7 linked regions of the Oryctolagus cuniculus genome follow. The main gene of each other region encodes a partner of the protein of the gene in region 2 in a complex. Links are inferred from orthologs where the notes say so. Each region holds a gene or a part of one and is shown on either strand. Other genes may lie near its edges.

Region 1 (3,500 bases), on a different chromosome or scaffold from region 2:
CCATTTCTGATTCCAACTCCTGCTAATATACACTCTGGGAGGCATCAGGTGATGGCTCAAGTACTTGGGTCCCTGACACCCACATAGGAGATCTTGACTGAATCCCTGGCTCCCAGCTTCAACCTAGCCCAGTTTTGGCTACTGTGGGCATTTGAGGAATAAATTGGAAGATAGAATCTCAATCTCAATCTTTCTCTCTCTCATTCTCTCTCTCTGACTTTCAAATACATAAATTTTTAAAAATATATATTAGTGATTATACCTCTAAGCCACAGAGACACAAATGTTGCTACTCGTTGAGGTCCTGTACACTACCTAGCCATAAAGCATACATCTAACATCTAGAATTACAATGTTTACAAAGTTTCAGCAATTTTGATGACAGTTTCAGCATTGCTCAGCATTTATGATCAACTGCTAATGTATGAAAGCAATTTGAAACAAAAGTTATAAAACCATGTTCAGTCTATTTCAAAAACAATTATCCTAGTAAATGTTTCAATGTAATTTTTTAAAGTAAGTGTTTGAAATTGGAATCACTTCATAAAAATTCATCCCCAAAACACTGCTGTAAAAACCTTCCATCTAATTGGGAGAGATGCTGTAACATGAAGTTCCTACAAACTTGTAAACGCTCAGGAAATTTCAATCCCAGTTCCCACTTTGATCTTCTAGAGAATAGAGCAAGGGGTTCTTGAGGGTTTATAACAACAATGCCATTTGTCCCAAAGAATCATATTTTTCAGTTTCACATGAAGTGGGAGGGGAAGAGTGACTGCATGGTGAGGAAGAGGGCTATATTCACAATTAAAACTGTGAAACGCTAAACTCTATTATGAAGACAAATAGGAAAGTACAACTTCATTGTTGAAAACAATTTCCCTCCTATCAGTCCAAGGATTCATGCATCAATATTGTAGATGAACTGTTAATTACAAAATCAATTAAAAATTATTTCTAAAAACAGTCACGCGCCCCTGGCTCTCATGGGGGCAATTTGGGCAGAAGGTCTCATCTCACTAGGACCGCGCCAAATCACAAAGTCGTCATCCACAAGTAAGCAAAAGCAATCTGGTTTTTCATTTTTCAGCGCGGCTGAGCCCAGCCTGAGATTGATCGTCACATATGGCCCCAGAAAACAAACTGTCAATACCTTGAATGCTGCAGAATTTGAACAAATAGCCGTCCGCCCATTCAAGCCACTCATTGCATCCCATTTAACAGATTTTATTGACAGTTTCCTTCTTGTAATTAAAGGGAAAACTACTGGCCGGCAACCAAGATAAAGTTCAAAGATAGGGTCAAAACAAAAGCAGATGGAGGGGCACGGTGTGACTGTCAATGGTACATAGCATCAGAGCGTGCTATTGACACGCAGGTATCTAATGATCGGCACGTCATTAAAGAGGGATCTATCCTGAACTTTATGCAAATGCTGAGAGAGACTTAAGACCACAATAAAGCAGTAGGAGAGGCACAAAGGGAAAAACAACAAAGCACCAACGATTTTTACTTATTGGAGGTTGCTTCCTATTGTAGCACATTTCAGTGCGGATGGAAAGAACACTTATTCCCATAATTCTTAACCTCTCCTGCACAGGTAGGGCCTTTCAGGAAAATGCTCCTTCAGCAGAATTTGACTTCTAGAGAATTCCATCCAGAATGTTAGGGGAACTGCGCCTTTTGATTATCAAAATTGAAAACAACACTAAATATAGCTTCCCAGTAGCAAAGTTTTCATTTTCCAGGAGAAAAAAAGAGGTTAATGCATAGCTCTACTTCACTTATTTTGACTTGAGCACAAAAGACAAGAAAATGTTATCCCTAAAGGGTCCATTTATGCTACTTGCACATGAGCTTGTGCTTCGCTGAGATCCAAATTAATAAATGCATTGGATGGTAAAAGTTTCACAGCTTTCAATCAGCGAGAAAACTGAAAATTATTTCTTGTAAGTGTACTTTTCTTATTTCAAACTTTTCACTAGAAAGCTACACTGATTATAATTTTGCTGACTCACACACAATTTACAAACTAGGTCTAGCAAATCCCTGAAGAAGTTAAGGGAAGGGGTAAAAACTGACATATTAAAAAATGCACCAACAATCATGTCAATATGCCAACCTGAATTAGCAAGAGCTATAGCTTTGAGGGTGACAAATTCTTCTTTCTCCAGCTTCATGCTCTTGTATTTCTTTACCAGCTGCAGAATAGCATTATTGAGGTCAAGAAGGCCTGCTAATTTGGACTGGTCTTCGTCCATTATATAATCATCTGCATAGACAAGTTCATCTTCAAACGATAGAGATCGGTATACGACACCAAGGATCAAAATTTCCATCCACGCACTCTGCAGAAGGCTCATCTGGTCCGCCAGGGACAGGGTGGAGAAGCCTGTATGGGAAGAGAGGCAGACCAAGTTACTGAAAGACCGCTTCACAATGCAAAGTTAATCTCCTATGGCATTGGGCTCCACATCGGAGCCCACGGTGATGCACAGCTTTCATCAAAAGCTCTGAAAAACTTTCCCCTGGTCACTTTACCCATGTGAAGTAAAAGCCGAAAACCAGTTTCAATCTGTTGGCCTTTTCTATAGGTTTTGTAGACATGGCTATATAGATAGAATGGAGACGTGGTTATCTTTCTTCCATCTGAGAAGAAAATACAATGTCATCTTTAAGTATGCGTGGTTTCGGGCTGTATGCTCTAGAAATGTGTGAGAGGAAGTCATATTTACACTACCTCATCCCTACAAACTACCAGTGATAAACAACAAATAAGCAAAAATAAAAAAGCCCCCAAATAAAAACAATTTAGCCCACACAATACAGTACATCTTGGAAACGTTTCTCTCTAATAGTCACAGAGGATGATGACTTTCAACCAGATCAAATTTCTTAACTAGATATTTTGTCCTCACGGATATTTAACATGAGTTTCTTTTTTTAAAAAAATTATTTACTTTTCTATTTTATTTGAAGTGCAGAGAGAGAGAAATATATACAGACGGACAAGCAGACTCTTAAAGACCTTCCACCCACGGGTGCATTCCCCAACGGCATGCAACGGCGAGGTCTCAGCCAAGCCAGAGCCAGGAGTCTGGAAATCAGAATAAATCTCCCCTTTAGGTGACAGGGTCCCAACCACGGGGGCCATCATCTGCTGCCTCCCATGGTGCACATTTGTAGGAAGCTGGAATTGGGAACAGAACCAGGACTCAAACCCAGGCCCCAATATGGGATGTGGGCATCCCAAGTGGTATCTTAACGGCTCTCCCAAACATGTGCCCTGAAATCCTTTTAAAATGGTGTTTATTGAGATAAAAGAAAGTGGAAAACTTAGCCACTTGGCCTCTGTAACAAATTGAAAGGTCACAGTAAGATTCTATTATTTAAAAAGTTAGACATAGAGGCAATGGGGTTTGGTAGAAAGGATATGAGTGAAGTGGTCTCTTAATTGTAAATGTTGGCTCCACTCAGCTACTGCAGGTTTCATCTTGAGC
Region 2 (2,891 bases):
AGGCACCCGCTCCCCTAGCCCGAGGGAGGCGCCTCAGTGCTGCCTCTGCTCTCCGCCCCTCCCGGGACCAGACCAGTGTGGGGCCACCCGGAGCGGGGAGAGGCCCCCGCCTCGAACCTGGCTGCGCCCCCGCAAGGTCTCGCCCGCGGGCCGCTGGGCCAGCCGCGGGGGAAATCGGGGCCTGTGCAAAGCCCACTCCCACCCATCTCCCAGCCCAGCGCCAATAACTGCAGAAGACCGGAGGACTGAGTGTCACGGGGAGTTTATTGAGCCGAGCCGGTCACCGCCGGCAGACAGACGCTTTCCCTCTCGCTCACTCACAGTCACACGCGCACCCCAGCTCCCGCCTCTGCCGCCCGGCGCCGCGCTCAGCCGCAGGGGCAGGAGGGAGGCGAGGCGGGAGGGGAAGGGGTGCGGAGAGCAGGGTGGGGGGGCGGCCAGGGGCTGGGAGCGCCCCGCGGCTTGCAGGGAGAGCGAGACCCCCGGGCGGCCTCGGCTCAGCGGCTCCCTTCTCCAGGGAGCCTTTGGGAGCCGGGGCGGCGCAGCGAGGGGGAGAAGGGGGGCGCCTCCCACCCCGTAGTAGTCCTCTCCGCGGGGCGTCGGGGACCGGAGGGGGCAGGGCGGCGGCGGGCGGCTCAGCTCTGCGGCTCCTCGGGAGCCTCCCCGCCCTCTTCGCCGGCGTTGTCGGCTGTCCAGAGCGTCAGGTTGTCTCGCAGCAGCTGCATGATGAGGGTGCTGTCCTTGTAGGAGTCCTCGCTGAGGGTGTGCAGGTCGGCCATGGCCTCGTCGAAAGTGGTCTTGGCCAGCGTGATGGCCTCCTCGGGGCTGTTGGCGATCTCGTAGTGGAAGACAGAAAAGTTCAGGGCCAGGCCCAGGCGGATGGGGTTGGTGGGCGGCATCTCCTTCTTGCTGATGTCCATGGCCTCCTGGTAGGCGGAGCGGGCCGAGTCGATGATGCGCTTCTTGTCGTCGCCGGTGGCCACCTCGGCCAGGTAGCGGTAGTAGTCGCCCTTCATCTTGAGGTAGAAGACGCGGCTCTCGGCCTCGCCTGCCTCCTTGATGAGGTGGGAGTCCAGCAGCCCCAGCACGGCGTCGCACACGCCGCGGAGCTCCTTCTCCACCCTCTCCCGGTACTCGCGCACCTCCGGGCCCTTCTCCTCCGAGCCCTCCTCCGTGCTCTTCTGCTCGATGCTGGACAGGACCCTCCAGGCCGCCCTCTGGCCGCCCACCACGTTCTTGTAGGCCACCGAGAGCAGGTTTCGCTCTTCACAGGAGAGCTCCTCGCCCTTCTCCACCGCGCCCTTCATGAAGGCCGCCATGTCCTCGTAGCGCTCAGCCTGCTCGGCCAGCTTGGCCTTCTGGATCAGACTGGCTCTCTCCATGGCTCTGGGGACAGAGAGACGGGCGGCGGGCGAGCTGGCTGCCTGGGGACCAAGGCTGGACTCTGTGCCTCTGCTGCTCTCAACCTGCCTTTTGGCTGGGTGGCTTGGCCTAGGCAAGGGTGGGGAGGGGCGGGGGGGCGGGACTGGGGCCCAGGACCTGCCTCCCTGTCTTCTCCCCACACCCTTTCCGGCTCTTCCTTAAAGGTAAAAGGGCCGGGATGTGGGGGTGAGTCATTGGAACAGTCAGCAGGAGAAATCTGGGCGTGGGCCCCACCTGTGCGGGCACCTTGCTGGGCTCCAGGCTGCCCCCTCCTGTCCAGCACCCGCGTTAGGAAGCTGCCAGGAGGTAAGGACGGCTTCAGCCACCTGGCAGCTTCGGCTTTGGCATAGCCTGTGGGCTCAGGTGGGTGCAGGAAGATGGGGCTGCTAATCCGGCCAGGTGCACTGCCCCCCCCCTTCAGGCGAGGTAACCCAAGCGCTTCCCTAGTCCTCACTGGGTGCAGTCCCCACCGTGACTGTGAGGTGTGCAGCCCTGACGTGGTGTGGGAGCCTCTTCACTCTCAGGCTGTGAGACTTGCTCAGGGCCACACAGCTGCCAAGTCCCTGCAGCTCTCTCCTGCACCCAGCTTCCTTGGGCTTTTCTCCTATGGGCTCTGCATGCCAGGTCACCTGCCCCCTCTGACCGGGGAGCTCCAGACTTTTAGAAGTGAGGCCAGGCTTCTTCCTGAGTCTACTGGGAGACAATTCCAGCCCCAGGGCCTCAGCCATGCAGGGTCCCCTCCGAGCTCCCAAATGCTCCCAGAAGGGTGGCAGCTATCAGGGTGCTACTTAACGAAGTGTTTAACGAGCGGCCTCCGAGGCTCCAGCCGGGCCTGCGTAATTAGTCACCCAGTAGGTTCGTCGGACACCTTCCCCTTCACAGCACAATTTTCCCTTTCAAGTCGGTGGCCTGTTGCCACTTGTTGGAGGACTTCCCATGAGGCTCTCCAGGCCGGGTCAGCTGCCCCCTCCACGCCGCCTGCCATCACAGAGCAGCAGGGCTCACGAAGGGTCCCACTCTCCTTCCTGACTCAGCTTGTCCTCTGTCAGAGGCTGGGAAGCAGGCCACCTGGGTGCTCAGTCCAGTTTGGTCCCCCAGGGGGGACGCAGGCAACCCCGGGGAGAGACGGGGCCGAGGAGAAGGAGGTGGCGCTGACACACACTGTTTTATGGGGCAGCCGTGGAAGCTGAGTGACGCCTCCCCCCAGCCTGTCTCCCAGAAGTTTCCATGTCCCTTGCACTTGACCACGGCCCCAGCTCTGACCACAGCAGAGGTGTCGGAGCTGGAGACCTCCGTCGCCAACCTCTGTCCCTGCGTGTGGGGACCCAGTCCTCGAGTTTCACGTTGGCACTGAGCCAAGGAGGGTGGGTTCCTGTTTAGCTGCCCTGCCCCTAGCCAAAGCTTAGCTGGGACTCAGGGGTGCGGCTCCCGTCTGGGATTCAGCTGGGACCGTTTCACAGGCCTGTGTC
Region 3 (3,500 bases), about 8.2 Mb from region 2:
GCAAGGCGGGCCATGACCCCATATGGGATGCCGGCGCTGCAGGCCTGGGCTTTAACCCACTGCGCCAGAGCGCTGGCCCCAGGATATCTGTTCTGAGCCCCAGCCTGGTGCTGTGGGGGGAGGGGGTGCTGAGATCCCTGAGCCCATGCCTGCCGCTGGCTGTGTGCAAACACGCCCTCTGCTGGCCACCTCCAGGAACCCCAGCTGCTTGGCTGCTCAGAGGGGGGGGCGGGATACCACCCATGAGGACGGAAGAGGAGCCAGTACCTTTGGGTCCGCTGACACAGCAGAGCTGGGCCACGGGTCACAGCGCAGGTGCAGAGTGACTGAAGGTGCCGGGCGGCCAGGGCAGGGGCTGTCGCTGGCATTTCTTCAACTGAGTGGAGTGGCGCTGGACAACAGGCTCTGAGCTGGGGGTCAGGAAGTGCCCCCCCCACCCCGGGACGTGGCGGTCACGGCCAACTCCTCTCTCTGGGCAGAGAGCTGCAGCTCCAGGGTTTTGTGAACATGGTGACCGAGCTGAGCGAGAAGAGCAACAGCCAGCTGGCCTCTGTCTACGAGGACCCCAACCGCCTGGGCAGGTGGCTCCAGGTAACACCCACCTGTGGGCGGGGGCCGGGGGACCGGACGCGTCCTATACATGGGGCTCTCGCGCAAACCTGAGTGCCACAGGGGGGGAGGGGGGGAAGGACTCGCCTGAGCCATAGCCACAAGGGATGAAAATGGACTCCACCCTCCTGCCCGATCTGGAAGGGCCCTGGTCCTGATGCCTGCAGCTCTGGGCTGCCAGGACCCGGCCACCGCTGCGGGGTCGTGCCTGACCCCGGCACAGCGGGAGGGCTAGAGCCCAGCCTAGCCTTGGGGTCTGGGGTGTTGTCCTGTCTTCACAAATACTCGTGCAATTGTGTGCTGAGCGCACGTGAGAAGAGGGGGACAGGTTCCGCACCTGCTGTGTGAGGTTAGCGGTCTAAGGCTGGGGGGGTGGGGTTAGGGTTAGGGTTAGGGGCATGTGTGAGTGACTCGAGCCAGCTGGGCAGGGTGGGGCGTCGGGGAAACCTTCAGTGAAGTGAGGATGGGTGGGGGGTCTTCCTGCCGGGATTGGGGCAGGGGTGGGGAGGGGGCGGAGCAGAGGCTGACTTGGATGGTGATGTGGGCGTCTACCAGGGGATTCCGGGCCTGGAAGGGCCAGTGTGGCCGGGTCCCAGAAGGAGGGGCAGGCAGTGCTACGTTGAGCACTAGGGACGTTGTAAGGCCAGGTAAGGACTAGAAATCCACAGCAAATCAGGGCGACACAGAAAGGTATGAGCCAGGGGAGGGAGAGGTCGTGACTTAATTTTTTTCTTTAAAGTTTTGTTTATCTGAAAGTTAGAGAGGTAGAGACAGACTGACTTCTTCCATGGCTGGTTCACTCCCCCAAATGGCCGTAACAGCTGGGGCTAAGCCGATCTTAAGCTAAGAACTTCTTCCAGGTCTCCCACGCGGGTGCAGGGCCCAAGCACTTGGGCCATCTTCCACTGCTTTCCCAGGCCACAGCAGAGAGCTGGATCGGAAGTGGAGCAGCCAGGACTCGAACTGGCGCCCATATGGGATGCTGGCGCTGCAGGCAGGGGTTTTACCCACTACGCCACAGCATCGGCTCTGTGACTTAACTTTTTAACAGACCCCTCTGGCTCAGGGGTAGGGAGTGGATCTCGGAAGCGGGCAAGAACAGAAGTTCGGTTGGAAGGCCTGGCAGTGACTTCTCGGGCGGCACCCGGGATGAGTTGACTTGGCGTGGGTATTTTTGAGATAAAGCCAGCGAGACGTTGGCACACTGGGCGCAGACATGGAGAGAAGGAACCTGCTTACGGAAGGGTCCAGAGGAGGCCTCTGAGAAGCTGGGTTTGGAGGGCCGAGCAGGAGCTGGCGGGAAGTGGGGGTTCTCGTCGCTCCCCTTCCTGGGCAGCTGTGCGGCTGGCGGGCCGGACCCGGGCAGGAAGGCGGCTGGGGTGAGGGGACCTCACTGTCCGTTCTCTCTCCTCCCCCAGGACGAGATGGCCTTCTGCTACACCCAGGCTCCGCACAAGACGGTTTCCTTGATCCTCGACACCCCCAGGGCCACCAAGCTGGAAGACTTCCCCATGAAATACTCGCTGGTGTGGGGCTCGGTTGGGCTGATCCGGGTGTGGTCCGACCTCATCGGCCTGGTGCCTGGCCAGAGTGATGGGCCCCGAGGGAGAGGGTGCGGGTGCCCTGTGGTGGGGGTGGGGTGCTCCCTGGGAGTCGGCATTAGGTGGCAGGTGGGGGCTTCCGGCCCCTCCCTCCCTCCTTCCTCAGGGCCGGGTCTCCTTCCAGAGCCCTGGCGTTGGCTACGTGATCCAGCACACCGAGGACCACAGGGTGGCCAGTATGGATTCCATCGGGAACCTGATGGTGTCCCCGCCCGTCCAGGTGCAGGAGAAGGAGTACCCCCTCGGCAGGGTCCTCATTGGCAGCAGCTTCTACCCCAGGTGAGGCAAGGGGCCAGACCCCTCAAACTGCGGGGGAGGACCCTGGGGTTCACCTGGCTCCACCCTATTCCCCCTCCCCCAACCCCCCCCCCCCCGTGAAGCTCAGCAGGGGGTTTGCTCTGGGGCGTCTCTTACCCCGTGAGATAGGAGGGCTCCTTAGTCTAATCCATGCAGGAGACTAAAGTTTCTTTGGTTATGGGACTTCGGCTGGTCCTAGCGCCCCCTGCAGGTGGTGTGTCTATAACATGCGTGGTTGACCTTCACCATGACTGTAGGTCTAAGACCAGGAGACGCCTGGGTCTTGTGGGCCTGTCTGTCAGGGATCACTAGGCTCAGTCTTGATTTGGGTCCGAGAAAGGGATTCTTGGCCAACCAGCCCTTGACCGGCCACTTCTACCCAAAGGTCAGGGCAGCCGGGCCCCAGGTGGCAGCCTGACCCTCTGCAGTAGGCAGGCAGCTGACCGGGACCCTGCTGGATCACGGCTCTTCCATTTCCTTCCAGCGTGGAGGGCCGGGCCATGAGCAAGAGCCTCCGGGACTTCCTCTATGCCCAGCAGGTCCAGGCGCCCGTGGAACTCTTCTCGGACTGGCTGATGTCGGGCCACGTGGACGAGTTCATGTGTTTCGTCCCCACGGACGACAAGAGTAGGAGCAAGAAGGTGTGCGTGGGCAGCTGGAGGGCACATCTGCCATGTCGCCCGCACCTTCTGCTGGGGACTTCCAGAATCTTCTAGGGGCGAAGGGACCTGACCTCTGACCCTCGGTGTTTGTCCCCTAGGGCTTCCTGCTGCTCCTGGCCAGCCCCAGCTCCTGCTACAACCTCTTCAAGGAGAAGCAGAAGGAAGGCTACGGGGATGCGGTGCTATTTGAGGGTGTTAGAGGGGACCAGCTCCTCTCTAATGGTGAGCAAGGGGTCCCTCCGGGGGGGAAGGGCCAGGTCCCTTCTGTGGGGGTCCCTGTAGACGGTCATGCTCTCCTCGGTCCTGCTTGGTAGCAGGAGCCCAGGGCAGC
Region 4 (4,182 bases), on a different chromosome or scaffold from region 2:
GACTCCCTGCTGGTAGACAGTTGGATAAGAATTGGAAGATACATTTATCAGTCAGACTGTACACTTCTACCTCCTCCCATCATTTCTATTCCAAGGGCAACTCTGTTAGAGTCAAAAGCCCCTTTGTGTAGAGGTGGGCGTTTGGCCTAGCTGCTAAGCCAGAGTTTGGGTTCAATATCAGGCCCTGGCTTCTGATTCCAGCTTTTGCTAATATGGACTCCAAGAGGCAGTTGTGACGGCTCAAGTAATCGGGTTCCTGTCACCCACATGGGAAACCTGGAGCTCCCAACTCCCAGCTTCAGTCCTCGCCATTATGAGCACTGGGAAAGTTAGCCAGCAGAGGAGAGCAAGGTGTTCTCTCTCACTCTCCCTCTCTCTCCACTGCCCAAACTTTCAAGTCAATAAACACCTAAGCATTGTTTTATGTAAACAAGCAAAGGGGACTGCTGAGGACTTTGTAAACGCCAATGTGCACCTGTCTAAAGACGGCAGCTATCCATGCACCCGCAGCAGGTCACTGGCTGGCTTTTCACGTGGGACCTGAGTGGAGAGATTTTTCTTCAACAAAAGCTGTGAATTCAGATTTTGTGTAATATCTCCCATGTGTAAACACTTAACAATAAACAACACTGTGCCAGCCAAACAAAACTCTTCTGAGGACAGATCCCAGCAGGGCCCCCCACGTGGCAGACAGTGAGTCTGCCAATTCTAATGCCATTCTTTGCACTACTTCCAAGGATCCTCAACCCACAGACCGGTGGTTCCCCTGGGATGGGACCTGTAAGCTTCTAAGCAAAATGACCCCAAGTGAGTAATGCTTCATGAGGCTTTTTGGGTATGTTTTCAGACAACTGTTTTATTTTCCTCTACCCTGATGGAACACCAGCTTCTAGCACCACTGTGACCTCCTACTCCCCTTCTATCACAAGAAGACACACTTGCAGGCAAAGCACAACTAAACAGATGGAGAACCTGGTAGGAGTTCTAATGAATGAAGTATACCGATAACACACACACACACACACACACAAAACACACTTTATTAGAAAACACCAAAGAGATGTTAATGACTAGCCAAACATTTGAGGGGGAAAAGTTGGTAGTTCAATCCTTAATATATGAGCAGATTTTGCTAACTAAGTAGGTTCCACTGTAAGACTGCAAAAGGGGGAGGGGGAGACCAGGGCAAAAAAAGAAAGTAAAAGCTTCTGGCCTTGGATAAACTCAGACACCTTTTAAGACACTGTGTTCAAGTGGAAATGTTTACCATGAAAGACTAACCATAACCCCAGCCCTCAGGAGGAGCAAAGCTGTATTTTAACCAGATCTCATGAAACATTCTTTGGGCAACAAGAAACTGGGATTTAGACACACAGTTGAAAGCATAAAGCCACCCCACCAGAAAAGGAAGAAATGAAGAAAAGGAAACGAAAACAGTCCAGTTGTTTTTAAACTCACACACCAGTTTCTGATGTTTTTAACGTGCAGTGTTTGTCACAACGTTGCTTTACAAACAAAATGTAGCAACATTTCCTATATAACTTTAGATAACAATGTGGCCAACGTAAACATACAAAACAGAGGTTAAAAATTCTAACCCAAATGACATCACCAAGATTTTCAACCGTCAAAAAATAATAAGTCTGAAAATACTGGCATGTGTAGCAGCTCCTCGTTAATCGGAGGGGGTGCCCAGGAGAACGCAGAGGGAGCAAAGCAGGCCATGCTGCCGCCGGCAGGCAAGCTCGCAGCAAACATGATGGCCAGAGCGTTATCGGGCCAGTGAAAGGAGCGTCCCGGACACTTCAACCGGGAGGCTGACAGCAGCTCGGCAAAGAGACCGGCCAGGAGGAGGGGTGGCCTGCGCTGACCTCCGCTGAACCCCGGGGCTCCCCCGACTGCTGTCTCCGACCCTCTCCCCGCGGCCTGCCTTCCCACACACCGGGGCACGTCCCCGCCGAGCGCCCGCCGGCTGCGGAGGGACCGGGAAGAAAGGCGGCCCTGCCCGCGCGCGCCCCGCCTCCCCGGCCGGGCTCCGACCCGGCGCCCGCCTCGGGGGCTGCGGCCGGGCAGCGGGGTTCCCCGCGCTCCTCACCTTCTTCAGCGCAGGCACCAGCAGCCCCCGCCACTTGGGCGCGTTCTCCTCGCTGAAAAACTCGTACGGCAGCTGCTGCGCCTGCATGGTGCCCCCGGGGCGCCTCTGGGCGGGGAGAGGGGCGGCGGCGACGGCCCGGCCGGGAAGCCGCGAGAGGGCGAGCTCGCAGCGCGGAACAGGGCCGCGGCCCCTCCGGACGGCCCGGCCCCCTCGGGGCGCCGCACGGCCGGGCTAGCCCCGGAGAGGCGGCTGCGGGACGAGGCCCGCGCGCGGCCACCCGCCCGACACCGGCACCAGCCGCGGAGAGCGAACACGGCCCGGAGGTGGCGGCGGCGGCGGCGGCATCCCGGCCGCACCACCGCCCTGGGGCCAGGCCCCCCGCCCCTCCCCGGCCCGCCGGCGCCGCCCCGAGCTGCCCTCCGCCGCGGCCGCCGCCCGCCCGCCCGCTGCCGGGGCTACGCTCCGCTCCGGGCCCGGCCTGCCCGGCCGAGGAGCTGGCGGCAGGGGGAGGGCGTGTGGAGGGGCGCTCCTGCCGCGGCGCCCGCTCGCCCAGCGAGGACTTCGACACGCTAGAGTCTTAGAGCGGGAGGGAGCTCGGGGGCGAGGAAGGGCCCGAAGTCGCCGCTGGGGTTCCGGCCGCCGGGTTGCACCGCGGCCGCCGCCGCCGCCGCCGCCGCCGGTGCAGCGCTGGAGCTTCCTACTAGCGAACTGAACCTGCGCGCTACTGAGCATGCGCCGCCGGGCTGGGCCGGTTCCCTCCGGGTTTTCCGGCTCCCGGTGAAGGAGGGAGGGCGAGGGAGGGCGCCGGGCCCGGCTGTGGCTGCGCTCCCGGGGGCTGCAGGGGAGGGGCGGTGGGGCCCGAGAAGTCGAACCCTGGCCGAATGGGGCCTGCGGGTGGGGGTGGGAGGCGAGCTGTGCTGAGACGGCCCCCATTGTGTGGCCGCGCCGCGAGGGATCCCACCCCTCTCTTGGAGTCCCCGGGCCTTGGTTTCGGAAAGGGGTGTGTGTGTGTGTCTGGGTCTGTGTGTGTACTTTGTTCCCGACCATGAGGATAAGGGCTGCTCGGAGCGTGCAACGTATAGTAAACAGACTGCACAAAGATAGGTTTCCCTCTGCTCAGTATTTGTCAGGTGGCAGAAGCGACTGCGATGTTTCCAGCCGGCCTTTCCACAGCAAGGGTAGAATGGGTGTTCAGGTTCAGCCTGCGCAAACCCACATCAGACAACCAACTCCAGTCAGTGCTTCCCTGCCCTGGAAAGTGGGACATCATACGCGGTTCCCAGGTTCCAGAGAACCTCACTTGGTCTGTTTTGCGTTTTCTATCTTCCCCGGCATTTTGGTTAGATCGTGAACGCCTGCAAGGCAGATCTTTTTCTCCAGGGAATGCTTGTGGAATGCTAAAGGTGCAGTGTATAAATTTGTCCCTCGGTTCCAGGGCTGCAGATGTTGGTTTCCAATACCACTGTTGGGTAGACACCTCGTGGTTTTCATTAAACACTAAAGTATCGCTCCCTGAGCCCTCACAGCAATCATGTTTTCATTTCACAGAGAAGACAGTGCAGAGGACTAGCCTGGGTTGAGCTGGCATTTGTGTCCTGCTGGTCCATGGAACAATAGCCAGGATCCCAAAGCTGAGAAATGTTTAAGCGGTGCATCTTAATCTTTACAGAACTTCTCTGAGAATCTGAATCAAGTCTTGGGCTTTTTCCTTTTAAAAATGGGCATGCCTGATTTACACTTTCAGAAGTGTTCAGTGACATTTTGAAACCCGTCAGTCAGTCCTCTGGAAGAGGAGAACCTACATTGTTTGGAGTCGAGTTGGGGGCGTCTCAGTGGAGAACGTGTTAGACCCCTTCCACTACCTACAGGGCTGATATAGGTGAAAAGGCTTTGTGTGGTTCTAAAGGAGTGAGCCTACACTGGTGGTCTGCTGCCAACTATTCCTTGGCTCTTCGTTGCTCTTAGAATACATTTCAGGCCAGCGCCGCGGCTCACTAGGCTAATCCTCCGCCTGCAGCGCGGGTACACCGGGTTCTAGTCCCGGTTGGGGCGCCGGTTCTGTCCCGGTTGCTCCTCTTCCAGTCCAG
Region 5 (3,500 bases), on a different chromosome or scaffold from region 2:
CCGGCCTGATTGGAAGGAAGACAGAGCAAAGAAGCAGAGGGCAACACAGTGAACTTTCCCCTGGGACCTGGGTAATGGGAAGGATTTAAGCAGGCGAACGAGAGACAAAAGACGCCTCTTGGACGTGCGTGGAGATAAATGTAAGCTTCAGGGGTATATACTCAAAGCTCTCACAACACTGGTTTAAAAGCATCTCAAAACGTGGGGTGGCTGCTCCTTGGGAAACCTCCATCCTATACTGGAGTGTCTGCGATCAAACTCTGGCTCCACTCCCGATTCCAGCTTCCTGCTAATGTGTACCTTGAAGGAGCAGGTGATGGCTCACGTACTTGAATCCCTCATTCTCAGCGAGAAGACCAGGCTGAGTTCCTGGCTCCTGGCTTTGGCTCTGGCCCAGGCCCTGGAGACTGAATCACTGCATAAAAGCTGGCTCACTCGCTCCCACTCTCTGTCCCTTCTTCACTCTGTTTTTCTGTCTCTCTCTCTTTGTATCTGCCTTTCAAATAAAACAAAAATAAGTAAATAAAAATAAAAGAAGAAAGAGAAATGCATTTGCAGTAAGATTCATTTTAAAAAGACTGGTATTATTCTTTAACAAACTTTGCAATTCAATCCAAGAAATCAGCTTAGTAATTTAAATGTTTGTATTAATTTAATTTGCCGTATCATCTTTGGCTTTGAAAACGTCTGACCCATAATACAAAGAAGAGAAAGTCCATATTCAGAGGACTATGCTATCAACAAACTGCTATACTTTAATTCTCTCAAGATTAGAAGTTTGAGCAGACAATTAATTCCTAAGTTACATATAACTTTTTATTTTATTCATTCACACACATACACTGTTCCTATCTGTTGGCTGATTGCTGTAAATGCAAACAACAAATAGGCTGAAGGCAGGGACTGAGAACTCAATGAAGATCTCCTATTTGGGTAGCAGCAACCCAATCACTTGAGCCATGACTGTTGCCTTCCAGGGTCTACGTTAGCAGGAAGCTGAAGTCAGGAGCTAGCGCTGGGTACTGAACCTGGCATTCCAACATAGCACACATGCATCTTAACCTCCAGGATAAACGCCCACTCCAAGTTACACACAATTTCAACCCCTCTCCCCCCAAAAAGTCCTCATGATCAGGGCCAGTGTTTTGTCACAGCACATTAAGCCACCACTTGCAGCATTGGCATTCCAGTACTGGTTGTTTGACTTCCAGTCAAGTTCCCTGCTAACATATCTGGGAAAGCAGTGAAAGATGACCTAGGTCCCTGGGCCCCTGAACCCACATGGGAGACCCAGATGAAGCTCCTAGCTCCTCAGTAGGGCCTGGCCCAGCCCTGGTTGTTATGGCCATTTGGGGAGTGAACCAGTAGATGCAAACTCTCTGTCTCCTTCTTTCTCGCTCCCTTTCTCCTGTAACTGAGTCTTTCAAATAAATAAGTAAATCTTTAAAACACAAAGTCATCATGGTCAGTTAGCTGAGCCTCTCAATTTACAGTGGAGGAAATGAAGGCTCAGAACAGGCAGATAGCTGGCCGGCGCCGCAGCTCACTAGGCTAATCCTCCGCCTAGCGGCGCCGGCACACCGGGTTCTAGTCCCGGTTGGGGCGCCGGATTCTGTCCTGGTTGCCCCTCTTCCAGGCCAGCTCTCTGCTATGGCCAGGGAGTGCAGTGGAGGATGGCCCAGGTGCTTGGGCCCTGCACCCCATGGGAGACCAGGAAAAGCACCTGGCTCCTGGCTCCTGCCATCGGATCAGTGCGGTGCGCCGGCTGCGGCGGCCATTGAGGGTGAACCAACGGCAAAGGAAGACCTTTCTCTCTGTCTCACTCTCTCACTGTCCACTCTGCCTGTCAAAAAATAAAAAAAGAGTTATTTAAAAAAAAAAAAAAAACAGGCAGATAGCAGTTCTCATGGTCACACAGCTACTACCAAACCAGGTTAAACTCTCGTCTCCCTAAAATACTTTAAAAGCTTCAGTTATCTGGACTCAAACCGACTATATGGAGCCATCAGCAGGCAGCTCTGACAGATGCTGACACATACCCTGTGTTACCGAGACAGAACCTAGAATTGCATTTTAACCCAGTCTCTGTCTCCACTGCTTGCTCTCAAAGGGGTCTCTGCACACCACCCAGACTGATACCCATGTGGACAGCAGAGGAACAGGGGGCGTCCTGTGCAATGACACAGGAGGAGACTGGAAGACCTGACGGTGCCGGGCTCCTCCAGCATTGGGAGTCGGGCTGGGGGCGTGGAAGACTGGACGGTGCCGGGCTCCTCCAGCATTGGGAGTCCGGCTGGGGGTGTGGAAGACTGGACGGTGCAAGCCTCCTCCAGCACTGGGAGTCCGGCTGGGGGGCGTGGAAGACTGGACGGTGCTGGGCTCCTCCAGCACTGGGAGTCGGGCAGGGGACGTGGAAGACTGGATGGTGCCGGGCTCCTCCAGCACTGGGAGTTGGGCGGGGGGTGTGGAAGACTGGACGGTGCTGGGCTCCTCCAGCACTGGGAGTCAGGCGGGGGGCGTGCAAGCCTCCTCCAGCACTGGGAGTCGGGCGGGGGGCGTACCTCGCAGAGTGGCTGTGGGAAGCTGACCAGTGCATTCTGCTGCAGCTCTAGCCTCTCCAGGTGCTCCAAGTGGCCACTCAGGCAGCCCCTGCGGCTCAGGGCATCGACCTCCCTGAGTTCATTCGCTGATAGGTCTAAGGAGGTGATGTACTCCCTCTCCGAAGCCAGGGAGGACACGCTGTCTGACTGCCTCGCGTGGGACTGCAGTTTGGTCGACCCTGTATCAAGAAACAGCAGAAACGTGAGCAAAGGGCTTGAATCCATTAGGGCAAGGTGTCCTGAACACCTCCCGGTGGCAATCTCTCCTCCAGGCACTGGAGCTTCAGCAGAAAATGCATTTGGGGGGCCGGCGCCGTGGCTCACTAGGCTAATCCTCCGCCTTGCGGCACCGGCACACCGGGTTCTAGTCCCGGTCGGGGCACCGGATTCTGTCCCAGTTGCCCCTCTTCTAGGCCAGCTCTCTGCTGTGGCCAGGGAGTGCAGTGGAGGATGGCCCAAGTGCTTGGGCCCTGCACCCCATGGGAGACCAGGATAAGTACCTGGCTCCTGCCATCGGATCAGCGCGGTGTGCCGGCTGCAGCACGCTGGCTGCGGCAGCCATTGGAGGGTGAACCAACGGCAAAAGGAAGACCTTTCTCTCTGTCTCTTTCACTATCCACTCTGCCTTTCAAAAAAAAAAAAAAAGAAAGAAAGAAAAGAAAATGCATTTGAGGGCATGCGTCTAGCACCAGAAATGCATAATAAATTTAAAAAATTGAATTGGCTGGTGCAATGAAAAACAACAACAATCAAGAATATAAGGCAAAGGAGAGGCACTGCAGGCACTACCTGCAGCTCAGACAATTCACAGCAAAGATAAAAATGCCTGCTGGCATGTATAAGAGGTCCATGTTTAACCTATAACTAAATCTCATTTTCTGTAGCCTGTGGAGTCACTAG
Region 6 (3,500 bases), on a different chromosome or scaffold from region 2:
GGCGGGTGGCATTTGGGTGCTGTCTCCTCTTAAGACATCCTGTCGGCCAGCAAAGTCTCCTCCTGAGCAGTACAACCAAAGCCCATTTCATCCAAGAGCCGCGGATTTCCGGCTTACGAGAAAGGCGTGGGAGGTTGGGGGAATGGGTGAGTTTTAGAAATGGCACAGATGGCAATGAGGCAGGAGGTCAAAGCACCCTCGGGGGAAGCTGAGGGTTAACATGAGACGCTGGACCCCCGAGTGTCAGTCTATGCAGCCCCTCGGAGAGGAACAGGCTTCCCTTTGGGACCACCCCCTGCTGACAGTGGCGCAGGGGGCGTTCCCGTGAGATTGACAGGTCCCCAGCAAGCCAAGACCCAGCCTCAAAACTCAGACCAACGTGACCTTTCCCCTACTTAGCAATCGAATGCAATGTGAGCCACTCTTCTAGAAAGTCTCTCACACGTCCCAAATGCCCATTCTCAGCCAAGCATTCCAAAGCTGCCCTTCCTACCCCTGCGGGACGAAGCTGCCCCGAATCGCCAGCATCGTCAATGAGAGGGATGCGAGCCCCTGGGGTTCCAGGCGCGTGTGGCCAAGCATGGGAACCGGAGATGACACAACTGAAAAATGGCCGTGATAACTCCGTACGGTTGGCTCTGGACCGTCCAACCGTCTCTAAGTGCTGTTCTCATATGTTGGTGAAGCGAACCAGTTTCACAAAGTGCATGCTGTAAGTGTTGGAACTGGCAAGCTAAGTGACCCTTTGTCTTCATCCCCACCCACCCTTCCCACCCACCCTGAAAATCCGTGAATACAATGTAGAGCCTAGCGTTTTTTTAAGTTACGGTCGAGACGCGTCTGGGAGAGACGGCTTTAACGGAGCATGCTTGGTTTGGCAACTATGAGAACTCAAAAGCCCCGTGGGTTCTGCTTGTGCCGTGTTGGTTTGGGAGCAGCCAAAGGTAGGCTATGAAACCAGGTGAGTGGAGGGAGAGATGAAGAAATTCTGGAACTTTCCGTCTCATCCCGTGACACACACTTGCACCATCTGAGCGTGCCCCCCCACCACACACACAAACACCCCCCAGTCCTTGGGGGAAGGAGAGAGAGAGGCGCTGGGCAGAGACGCCACTTGGGGCGGGCGACAGCAGGCTCTTGGCTGGGCTTGTAGCTTTGGGTTTAAAATCCTCTTAGCTCTGTCTGCGTGGGCTCCATCTCACCCTGGGACCGGGCCAGTGGCCTCAGGTGGGGAAGGGGCAGGGGGCGTATAAGGCATACTCTGCGGGAAAGGACGACCCATGCCTGCGTGCTTGGGTGCGGGTTTCGGAGGAGGAGGGGCCTTGGTTTTCCCCTGGGCCTGTTCTGCCTGGCTGGAAAGGTAGGGAAGAAATAAAGCCGAGAAGAGGAGAGAGAGAGAAGGCGATGACAGATGGCCGGCACGACAAAGGGTAAATCACAAATAAATAGGGAAAGACGAGTCGGGGCCGATGGAACTTACGTCGACTCTGACACAGGGGACGCGGCCGTGCTGGCGCCCGCCCCGCACCTTAGACGGACCTCCGGCGCCGCATCAGCCGGTGGTGCTCGGAGAAGCTGTGCACCCCAGGGGAGATGGAGCTGATGGGTGATGGGAACAGGCTGTTCTTCAAGGTGCTCGGGGAGATCTCCTCCATCCTGTACGAGATGGACTGCAAGTTCTGGGGTGCGAGCTTGGCACCGAAGGAGTTCTGGTGCGTGGCCACCGAGCGGTAGCACGAGCAGGCGCACACGGACTGCAGTTCGGTGCCCTCGCCCTTGGCGCGGGCACGGCCTGGCCGCGGCTCGTCGGGGACGTGGATGACCAGGCTGTGGTGGTTGCCGGTCAGCGACGCCCGGTCTTCGGCGTCGCGCCGCTCGTCCTCACTGTTCATGGTCAGGAACCTGAGCACGACCAGGTTGAGGAAGGCTCCGATGACCGTGAGCCCCACCAGGATGTACATGAAGCTGAAGGCCACGTACAGCGGCTTCTTCTGCAAGGCACCCTTGCTCTGCAGCGCCACGTAGTCCCCGAAGCCGATGGTGGTGAGCGTGATGAAGCAGTAGTAGTAGGCGTGGAAGAAGCTCCAGTCCTCGCACTGGGAGAAGGCGGCCGCGCCGATGCACAGCGTGCCCATGCAGGAGAAGAAGCCCACGGTCACCATGTTCTCCATGGAGACCTCCGTGTTGCGCATACCACAGCCCTTCTTGATGCGTTTCAGCAGGTAGCGGACGAAGGTGTTCATGCGCTCGCCCAGGCTCTGGAACATGACCAGCGTCAGCGGGATGCCCAGCACCGCGTAGAACATGCAGAAGGCCTTGCCCGCGTCTGTGCCGGGTGCCGCGTGGCCATAGCCTGCGGGGGGAGGGGGGAGAAGAGTGGGGAGAGCGGTCAGAGGCCAGCCCCTGGGGTCTGGGAGGGAGGGGTGGGAAGAGAAGGACAAGGGGGATTGGCAATTTTTTGGGGGGATCACAGGGTCAGAGTGGGAAGGGGGCACGGGCGGATCACCCCAAATTCAGAAATCGGGAACGTTCCAGAATCCCAAGTGGAAAGTTCCACCATGAGAAAGTGCATGGGAGACTGGTTCTGGGCGTCACTCGGGAAACGCGTGGGCGCCAAGCGCACCACATGGTGGGGCCTTTCGGGGGTCTTGGAGCAACACCACTAAGATAACTACCAGAGACCCAAAACCCAGGAGAGAAATTAAAAATGCCCACCGCAGCCGGACACACAGAACATGCTCCTTGGACGATGCCTGCGGTGAGCCGGGCTCTGGGGCCTGCACCAGGGCGTCCACCTTGGCAAGGACACCCAGCAGGTTCCCGTGGGCAAGGCCGCCACCCCCCCCCCGCAGCCGAGGAGGCGGCCAGCAGGGGGCGCTCTGAGCCCCAAGAAAGGCCCGGAGAGGGGGCTGTTCTTCTGTGTCTGCTGAGGCCCCGGCAGCCAGGAGGGGACCTGCCCCTGTGACCCGGGATAGACACGCCCAGCCATTGAGGAGGATGGTGGCCGAGCTGCAGACGGATGCCGCGGGCCCGGGTCACCCAGAGCCTGGGGCCGAGCACTATGGCCTGGCCGGAGGAACACCACCCAGCAAAAGCCGGAGCCGGCCGCGCTCGCTCTGATACTTCAGAGGGTAAGTCGGGGCTGCGGGCGGTTGCCCGCCAGGGTGGGCTTCTCTTCCGAGACCCTGAGCTGCTGAGCGAGCTCCACCCACCGGGGCCTCCCCCACCCAAAGAGGGTAAGAGCTTCAGGTGCGGTGCGCTGAGAGCCAAGGCCACCCAGGCCGGGCTCGGGACACAGCAGGAACCTCACAGCCCCCACGGCTCTCAGCAGGAAGCCCACTGCCCACGCCCCCGGCGTGTACACAGGCCAGCTCCTCGCGGGAGAGGAGACAGCCCATGTTGGTCTCCATGGCCCTTGATCCCCGTCTCCCAGCTGGCACCAAGCTGGGGCCCCTTGGGAGCCCCACAGCCCTGACGCTGGAGCGTGGACAGGGCCACCT
Region 7 (4,073 bases), on a different chromosome or scaffold from region 2:
AGTCGGCCCGGCTCTCCCTCCCTCCTTCTTCAGGGGCTGTGAGCCAGGGCAGTGCGCGAGTCCCCTGTGCCCGCCTCCACCCCTTGCTCAGTGGGAAACACCGAGGCCCCAGTGCCAGGGGAAGCCAGGCCCGCTGTGTCCAGGGGCCCGTCTCCCATGCTGGGGGGTCAAGGGGTGGGGGTGCCAGTCTGACTCCTCGGCCCCTTCTCCCACTGTCCCCTGGGCATGTGAGTCATTGGTCCCTTCTCCTCTCTGGTCTCCAAGCTCCTGTGTTTGCTTTGGGGTAGCAGCGGTGGGGAGGGCATGATAGGGCTCATTGCCCAAATGCAGTGGTAAGCCCAGCGCCCCAGCCCCTTCCCCCCTGGAGTTAGATAAACACCATCTGTCTCAACAGGAGACAGGGGAGACAGGCTAGGGGGGGGGGGAGGAGAGGCCTGGAGCCAGAAGCTTAGAACCAATGCAAGGACCTTCTTGGGATGGCTCAAAAAATTGGAGACCCTTGAGGGAAAAAGCGTAGGGACTTCTGGTTCAGGTACCGCACCCCTCCCCGCCCTCGATACCTGGTAGGGTCTCCTTTCCTGCTTGCTCCACCACCCCCCGCCCCGCCCCTGCCGACAGCCTGAGGTCCGTGTCTGCATTGGGCAGTCAGCTCTGACCATGAACAAGTGCTTCCTTGGAGCGCCCAGAACTCCCCCCTACAACCCAGCCCCCGGGCGTCCGCCCACGCAGGCCGTGGAACACAGCCTCCTGGAAAGTCCTGCCTCTGCCCACACTGCCCCGCGGGAGGTCAAAGGCGGCCACCTCTGCAGGCCAGAGCACCTCCCACCACCTCCTGGACTTTTTGTCCCACACGGGACACTGGACTTCTGCCATCTCTTGTTCCAGGGAAACCCCTATAACTGGGGGGGGGGGGGCGTGCTTTGAGGGCTTAAACACTGACCCAGTCTGAGTTTCATCATTTTCCCTCCGCCAAGTGGGGGCAGGGAATCCAAAGGCCCCTCCGAGACTGAGCCACTCCCCTCCCTGATGCTGGGGTCTGCACCCTGGGGAAGACCAGAGGTTGAATGTTCTGAGTGGGAAAACACACAGTCTCTGCCCACTCCAGCTGCCCCTGGCTCCATCCTCCTGCTGGTGACTCAGGGGTGGCAGTTCTGGGGTGCACTGGGGCTTGTCTCACCCCCTCCCCCACCCTCCCCTTTTTGATCACCCTTTGGCCTGGGGTGGGACACAGGTGTGCCAGTCCCAGCAGAGCAGGTGCATAGCACTGCAAAGCAGGAAGATGAAGTGGGGGCAGTGGGTGGGAGTGTGGGGAGAAGGGCTCATCCCTAGTGCCGGGACCTCAGATGCCCTGTCCCAAGCAGTCCCGTGATGTCCGGGGAGGAGGGAGGGGAGGGGGAAAGGGACGGGAATTTGAACTTTCCACATAGGTCTGGCGTCCTGGACTATCAGGTTGCAACATGACCTGGGCCCGGGGCCAGAACGTGTGGGCCAAGGTTACGTCGCCTCCAGCCAATGGGGTCTGGGCTGGGCCAATGCGGCCAGGGGCAGGCATTGCTCCTCCGTGGTCCGCGCCCCTCGGTAGCCAGCGGTTCTCAGAAGGGGAGGAGGCGCCGCGGAGGAAGAGGGCTATTTGCAGAGGAAAGATCAAGGCCCGCCGATCCCCCCTCGCTTCCCTAAGGTCTTCGGTTGATAATTTATCCTGGTCCCTCAGCTCCGAGGAACTTTGCTCCAGGGCTCTGGGCCAGGACCCTGGTTCGCGCCCTCCGGAGGGGCGCAGGGCGTGGAGCAGAAGTCCTGGGGAGCGGCCGGCAGGGACCCCAGGCCACGGGAGGCGCTCAGACTGGTGCGGGGAAGCCCAGGCCTCCCCCAGCACCCGACCCGCGCGCCTCCTGCGGGACCTCGGCGTGCACAGCCTCTCTGGCCCGCCTGGGGCAGGCGCTCTCCTCCCGCCACCCGTGACCTAGCAGGTCAAGAAGGAGGGGTCCGGGCGCTGGGGACGCGATGGACGAGAGTCTGGGTCGGCGTCGGACATAGGGGCTGTGCACTGCGGCCACCACGGGCGCCATTCGGGGTATCGACAGGTGCCCAAATGGTGGTCCCAGGAGGAGGGCGGGCACCGGCGGGGGTGGCCCAAGCTTCTGGGAGCGCCAGCGATGCCTGGCGTTTGTCTGGAGCGGGGAGAGGAGCGCGTCGTGGGCCTGCGGAGGTCGAGGCGGAAGGCAGGTGCGTGCGCCCGAGCAAGAGGTAACGGCGGCCTGAATGGAAGCCTGGGGTGCACAGGTCCCATGGGGGGGGGGGTGCGTAGGCTGAAGCGGGGTCAGGGGACACCCGGGTCCGGGGAAAGAAGGTGCCCGGAGTGTGACTGGAGTCTCGGGGTGCAGCCGGGGGCTGGGCCTGAGCTGGGCGCGGGGCTCTCCGGAGCGGCCCTCACCTGTACGCCAGGCTCAAGCATTCGAAGAGGCGAGTGAGTGTGGGGTCGATGCTGCGCGGCCCGAAGTCGGAAAGTCCGACGGGCCCCTCCTGGTCGCGCCGCCGGGTCAGCGAGTCGCTGTGCGGCGACGACACCATGAAGTGTCCGCTGTGGATGACCTGCGAGCGCAGCGGGCCTCCCGCGCTGCGCCGCGGACTCGGATCCTCCGAGTCGGTGTCCGAGTCCGAGTCCGGGCTGGGCGCGGCCCGCGGGACCTGTAAGTCCGCGGCCAGACCTGCCAGCGCCCGGGCCATGGCCACCGCCGCGGTCCGCGGTCGCCTCGCCGGGGCTCGGGCGGAGCGGCAGCAGCGGCTCGCTCAGCTCTCCCGGCCTCATTAGCATAGCCACGCCCCCACACGACGATAGGCCGCCCTGGTGGGCGTGGCTCGGAGCCCCGCCCCGGCGCGCCGGAGGGTGGGCGGGGCTCGTCCTAACTTACTTCGTACGCCAGGTGAGATCTACGCTACCTGGAGCTCGCAGGTCTTTCCGAATCTCCGCCTCCCGCCTTTGCCCTTGGCTGACCCCTCGGGGTCTTGATGAAGAGGTGTCCTGAAGGGTGGACCCTCACACCTGGGCCCGCCAGCGGCTCTGTACATGTGGTTCGTGCCTCCAGGTGGGGCTCAGAGGCACAAACATTCCCAAAGACTAGTTATAGAAGATTCCAGAATTCGCAGCCAGGCCCGACCCCAGTGGGAACCGGAGAGGGCTGGAGGCCGATGTGAACCGGCCTTGGCTTTGCGGGTGGTGTGCTCTGTGCACCGTCCAGTGAGGGCCCCGCGAAGCGGGTGGGGAGGGGGCCTATGAGGAGTCTCGGGAAAAGTCCCAGCACACACCCAGCTCTTGGTGGGGTCAACACCGCCCCCAGGATCACCAAGGACCTCCCCCGGAGGGCCCCAGGAACTGGCTGAGGGAGTGAAAGGCGACCCAAGGCTCTGCTCGGAGTCACCTCACATTCCCAGGAGCCCCCGCGGGAGACCCACGTTCTCCCAGCCCCCTCCTGCCAACGCTGAGGAGGCCACCAGGGCCCATGGCGTTCCCCTCCTCTAGAGGGGCTGTGCCAGGTTTCTAAGAGCCACCCCTGAGCCACCTTTTGTGGCTGCTGGCTCCAGCAGGGTCATTCCTTGCCATGGGCCCTGAGGCAGGCCTCCTGTATCCTAAGATCTGAACCCCAGCCCAGGGCACTCACTCAGAGAAGGGGCACAATGCTAAGAGGAACAGATCAGTAGCTGTGAGGGGTGGGGGCTTCCCCATGTCGCTCTGCCACTGGCTCCACCACAAAAGGCCCCCCGGGGAAGGGGGGAATGTCTGTCTCACTGTAAAACTGGATGCCAAATTCCTGCAGCTTTTGCCATCCTTGGTTCAAAGCCTCTCTACCAGTGTCCCTGGTAGAGACAGGTCCCAGAGACACTCCCCTCTCCAGTGAGCGGGGTGCCTCCTCTCCCCCACCCAGCTCCCCTCTTTCGCCCGTCACTGTCAGCTGCCTGTCCGCCCACACCTGCACTTTGTTTCTCCCAGCCTCAGCCCAGATCACACCTCTGAAGGCTTCTGCACTGGGAAGATAAGCCCCATCTGTGTGATTGGAAGCAAAACAACCTAAGGTGTG

Evidence for each region.
Region 1: the proteins of SFN (region 2) and ESRRG are in contact, whole or in part, in a crystal structure (PDB 8BJG), measured with the Homo sapiens proteins. The link is inferred for Oryctolagus cuniculus from reciprocal best matches to the Homo sapiens genes SFN and ESRRG. Residues at the interface, in NP_006133.1 of Homo sapiens: Asn42, Ser45, Val46, Lys49, Arg56, Arg60, Arg129, Tyr130, Glu133, Gly171, Leu174, Asn175, Val178, Glu182, Leu222, Asp225, Asn226, Leu229, Trp230; in NP_001429.2 of Homo sapiens: Arg175, Arg176, Arg177, Lys178, Ser179, Cys180, Gln181, Ala182.
Region 3: the proteins of SFN (region 2) and PADI6 are in contact, whole or in part, in a crystal structure (PDB 4DAT), measured with the Homo sapiens proteins. The link is inferred for Oryctolagus cuniculus from reciprocal best matches to the Homo sapiens genes SFN and PADI6. Residues at the interface, in NP_006133.1 of Homo sapiens: Lys49, Arg56, Arg60, Lys122, Arg129, Tyr130, Gly171, Leu174, Asn175, Val178, Tyr181, Glu182, Leu222, Asp225, Asn226, Leu229, Trp230; in NP_997304.3 of Homo sapiens: Phe443, Tyr444, Pro445, Ser446, Ala447, Glu448.
Region 4: the proteins of SFN (region 2) and SOS1 are in contact, whole or in part, in a crystal structure (PDB 6Y44), measured with the Homo sapiens proteins. The link is inferred for Oryctolagus cuniculus from reciprocal best matches to the Homo sapiens genes SFN and SOS1. Residues at the interface, in NP_006133.1 of Homo sapiens: Glu14, Asn42, Ser45, Val46, Lys49, Arg56, Phe119, Lys122, Arg129, Tyr130, Pro167, Ile168, Gly171, Leu174, Asn175, Val178, Glu182, Leu218, Ile219, Leu222, Asp225, Asn226, Leu229, Trp230; in NP_005624.2 of Homo sapiens: Arg1158, Pro1159, Glu1160, Ser1161, Ala1162, Pro1163, Ala1164, Glu1165, Ser1166.
Region 5: the proteins of SFN (region 2) and LRRK2 are in contact, whole or in part, in a crystal structure (PDB 5MYC), measured with the Homo sapiens proteins. The link is inferred for Oryctolagus cuniculus from reciprocal best matches to the Homo sapiens genes SFN and LRRK2. Residues at the interface, in NP_006133.1 of Homo sapiens: Lys11, Glu14, Glu39, Asn42, Leu43, Ser45, Val46, Lys49, Asn50, Arg56, Arg60, Phe119, Lys122, Arg129, Tyr130, Pro167, Ile168, Gly171, Leu174, Asn175, Val178, Tyr181, Glu182, Asp215, Leu218, Ile219, Leu222, Asp225, Asn226, Leu229; in NP_940980.4 of Homo sapiens: Lys907, Ser908, Asn909, Ser910, Ile911, Ser912, Val913, Gly914, Glu915, Phe916, Tyr917, Arg918.
Region 6: the proteins of SFN (region 2) and KCNK9 are in contact, whole or in part, in a crystal structure (PDB 3P1P), measured with the Homo sapiens proteins. The link is inferred for Oryctolagus cuniculus from reciprocal best matches to the Homo sapiens genes SFN and KCNK9. Residues at the interface, in NP_006133.1 of Homo sapiens: Lys49, Arg56, Arg60, Lys122, Asp126, Arg129, Tyr130, Glu133, Gly171, Leu174, Asn175, Val178, Glu182, Leu222, Asp225, Asn226, Leu229, Trp230; in NP_001269463.1 of Homo sapiens: Lys369, Arg370, Arg371, Lys372, Ser373, Val374.
Region 7: the proteins of SFN (region 2) and MLXIPL are in contact, whole or in part, in a crystal structure (PDB 8BTQ), measured with the Homo sapiens proteins. The link is inferred for Oryctolagus cuniculus from reciprocal best matches to the Homo sapiens genes SFN and MLXIPL. Residues at the interface, in NP_006133.1 of Homo sapiens: Gly53, Arg56, Ala57, Arg60, Gln67, Arg129, Val178, Tyr181, Glu182, Lys214, Thr217, Leu218, Gln221, Leu222, Arg224, Asp225, Asn226, Leu229, Trp230; in NP_116569.1 of Homo sapiens: Arg117, Ile120, Arg121, Asn124, Trp127, Arg128, Ala129, Trp130, Tyr131, Ile132, Tyr134.

What each region holds. Positions count from the first base shown.
Region 1 is NC_091444.1:30,751,155-30,754,654, forward strand, and holds part of ESRRG (estrogen-related receptor gamma), read right to left. Parts: intron 2,393-3,500; coding exon 2,123-2,392; intron 1-2,122. UniProt on the Homo sapiens protein: Orphan receptor that acts as a transcription activator in the absence of bound ligand. Binds specifically to an estrogen response element and activates reporter genes controlled by estrogen response elements.
Region 2 is NC_091438.1:144,640,943-144,643,833, forward strand, and holds SFN (14-3-3 protein sigma), read right to left. Parts: upstream 1,486-2,891; 5' UTR 1,383-1,485; coding exon 636-1,382; 3' UTR 501-635; downstream 1-500. UniProt on the Homo sapiens protein: Adapter protein implicated in the regulation of a large spectrum of both general and specialized signaling pathways. Binds to a large number of partners, usually by recognition of a phosphoserine or phosphothreonine motif.
Region 3 is NC_091438.1:152,861,203-152,864,702, reverse strand, and holds part of PADI6 (protein-arginine deiminase type-6), read left to right. Parts: intron 1-479; coding exon 480-591; intron 592-2,027; coding exon 2,028-2,135; intron 2,136-2,334; coding exon 2,335-2,489; intron 2,490-2,991; coding exon 2,992-3,148; intron 3,149-3,267; coding exon 3,268-3,391; intron 3,392-3,500. UniProt on the Homo sapiens protein: Structural constituent of cytoplasmic lattices, which plays a key role in early embryonic development. Cytoplasmic lattices consist in fibrous structures found in the cytoplasm of oocytes and preimplantation embryos.
Region 4 is NC_091433.1:163,753,187-163,757,368, reverse strand, and holds the start of SOS1 (son of sevenless homolog 1), read right to left. Parts: upstream 2,801-4,182; 5' UTR 2,183-2,800; coding exon 2,096-2,182; intron 1-2,095.
Region 5 is NC_091440.1:131,827,533-131,831,032, reverse strand, and holds part of LRRK2 (leucine-rich repeat serine/threonine-protein kinase 2), read right to left. Parts: intron 2,780-3,500; coding exon 2,562-2,779; intron 1-2,561. UniProt on the Homo sapiens protein: Serine/threonine-protein kinase which phosphorylates a broad range of proteins involved in multiple processes such as neuronal plasticity, innate immunity, autophagy, and vesicle trafficking.
Region 6 is NC_091437.1:164,934,677-164,938,176, forward strand, and holds part of KCNK9 (potassium channel subfamily K member 9), read right to left. Parts: intron 2,354-3,500; coding exon 1,530-2,353; 3' UTR 1-1,529. UniProt on the Homo sapiens protein: K(+) channel that conducts voltage-dependent outward rectifying currents upon membrane depolarization. Voltage sensing is coupled to K(+) electrochemical gradient in an 'ion flux gating' mode where outward but not inward ion flow opens the gate.
Region 7 is NC_091450.1:50,437,612-50,441,684, reverse strand, and holds the start of MLXIPL (carbohydrate-responsive element-binding protein), read right to left. Parts: upstream 2,801-4,073; 5' UTR 2,725-2,800; coding exon 2,432-2,724; intron 2,224-2,431; exon of another isoform or gene 1,466-2,223; intron 1-1,465. UniProt on the Homo sapiens protein: Binds DNA as a heterodimer with MLX/TCFL4 and activates transcription. Binds to the canonical E box sequence 5'-CACGTG-3'. Plays a role in transcriptional activation of glycolytic target genes. Involved in glucose-responsive gene regulation.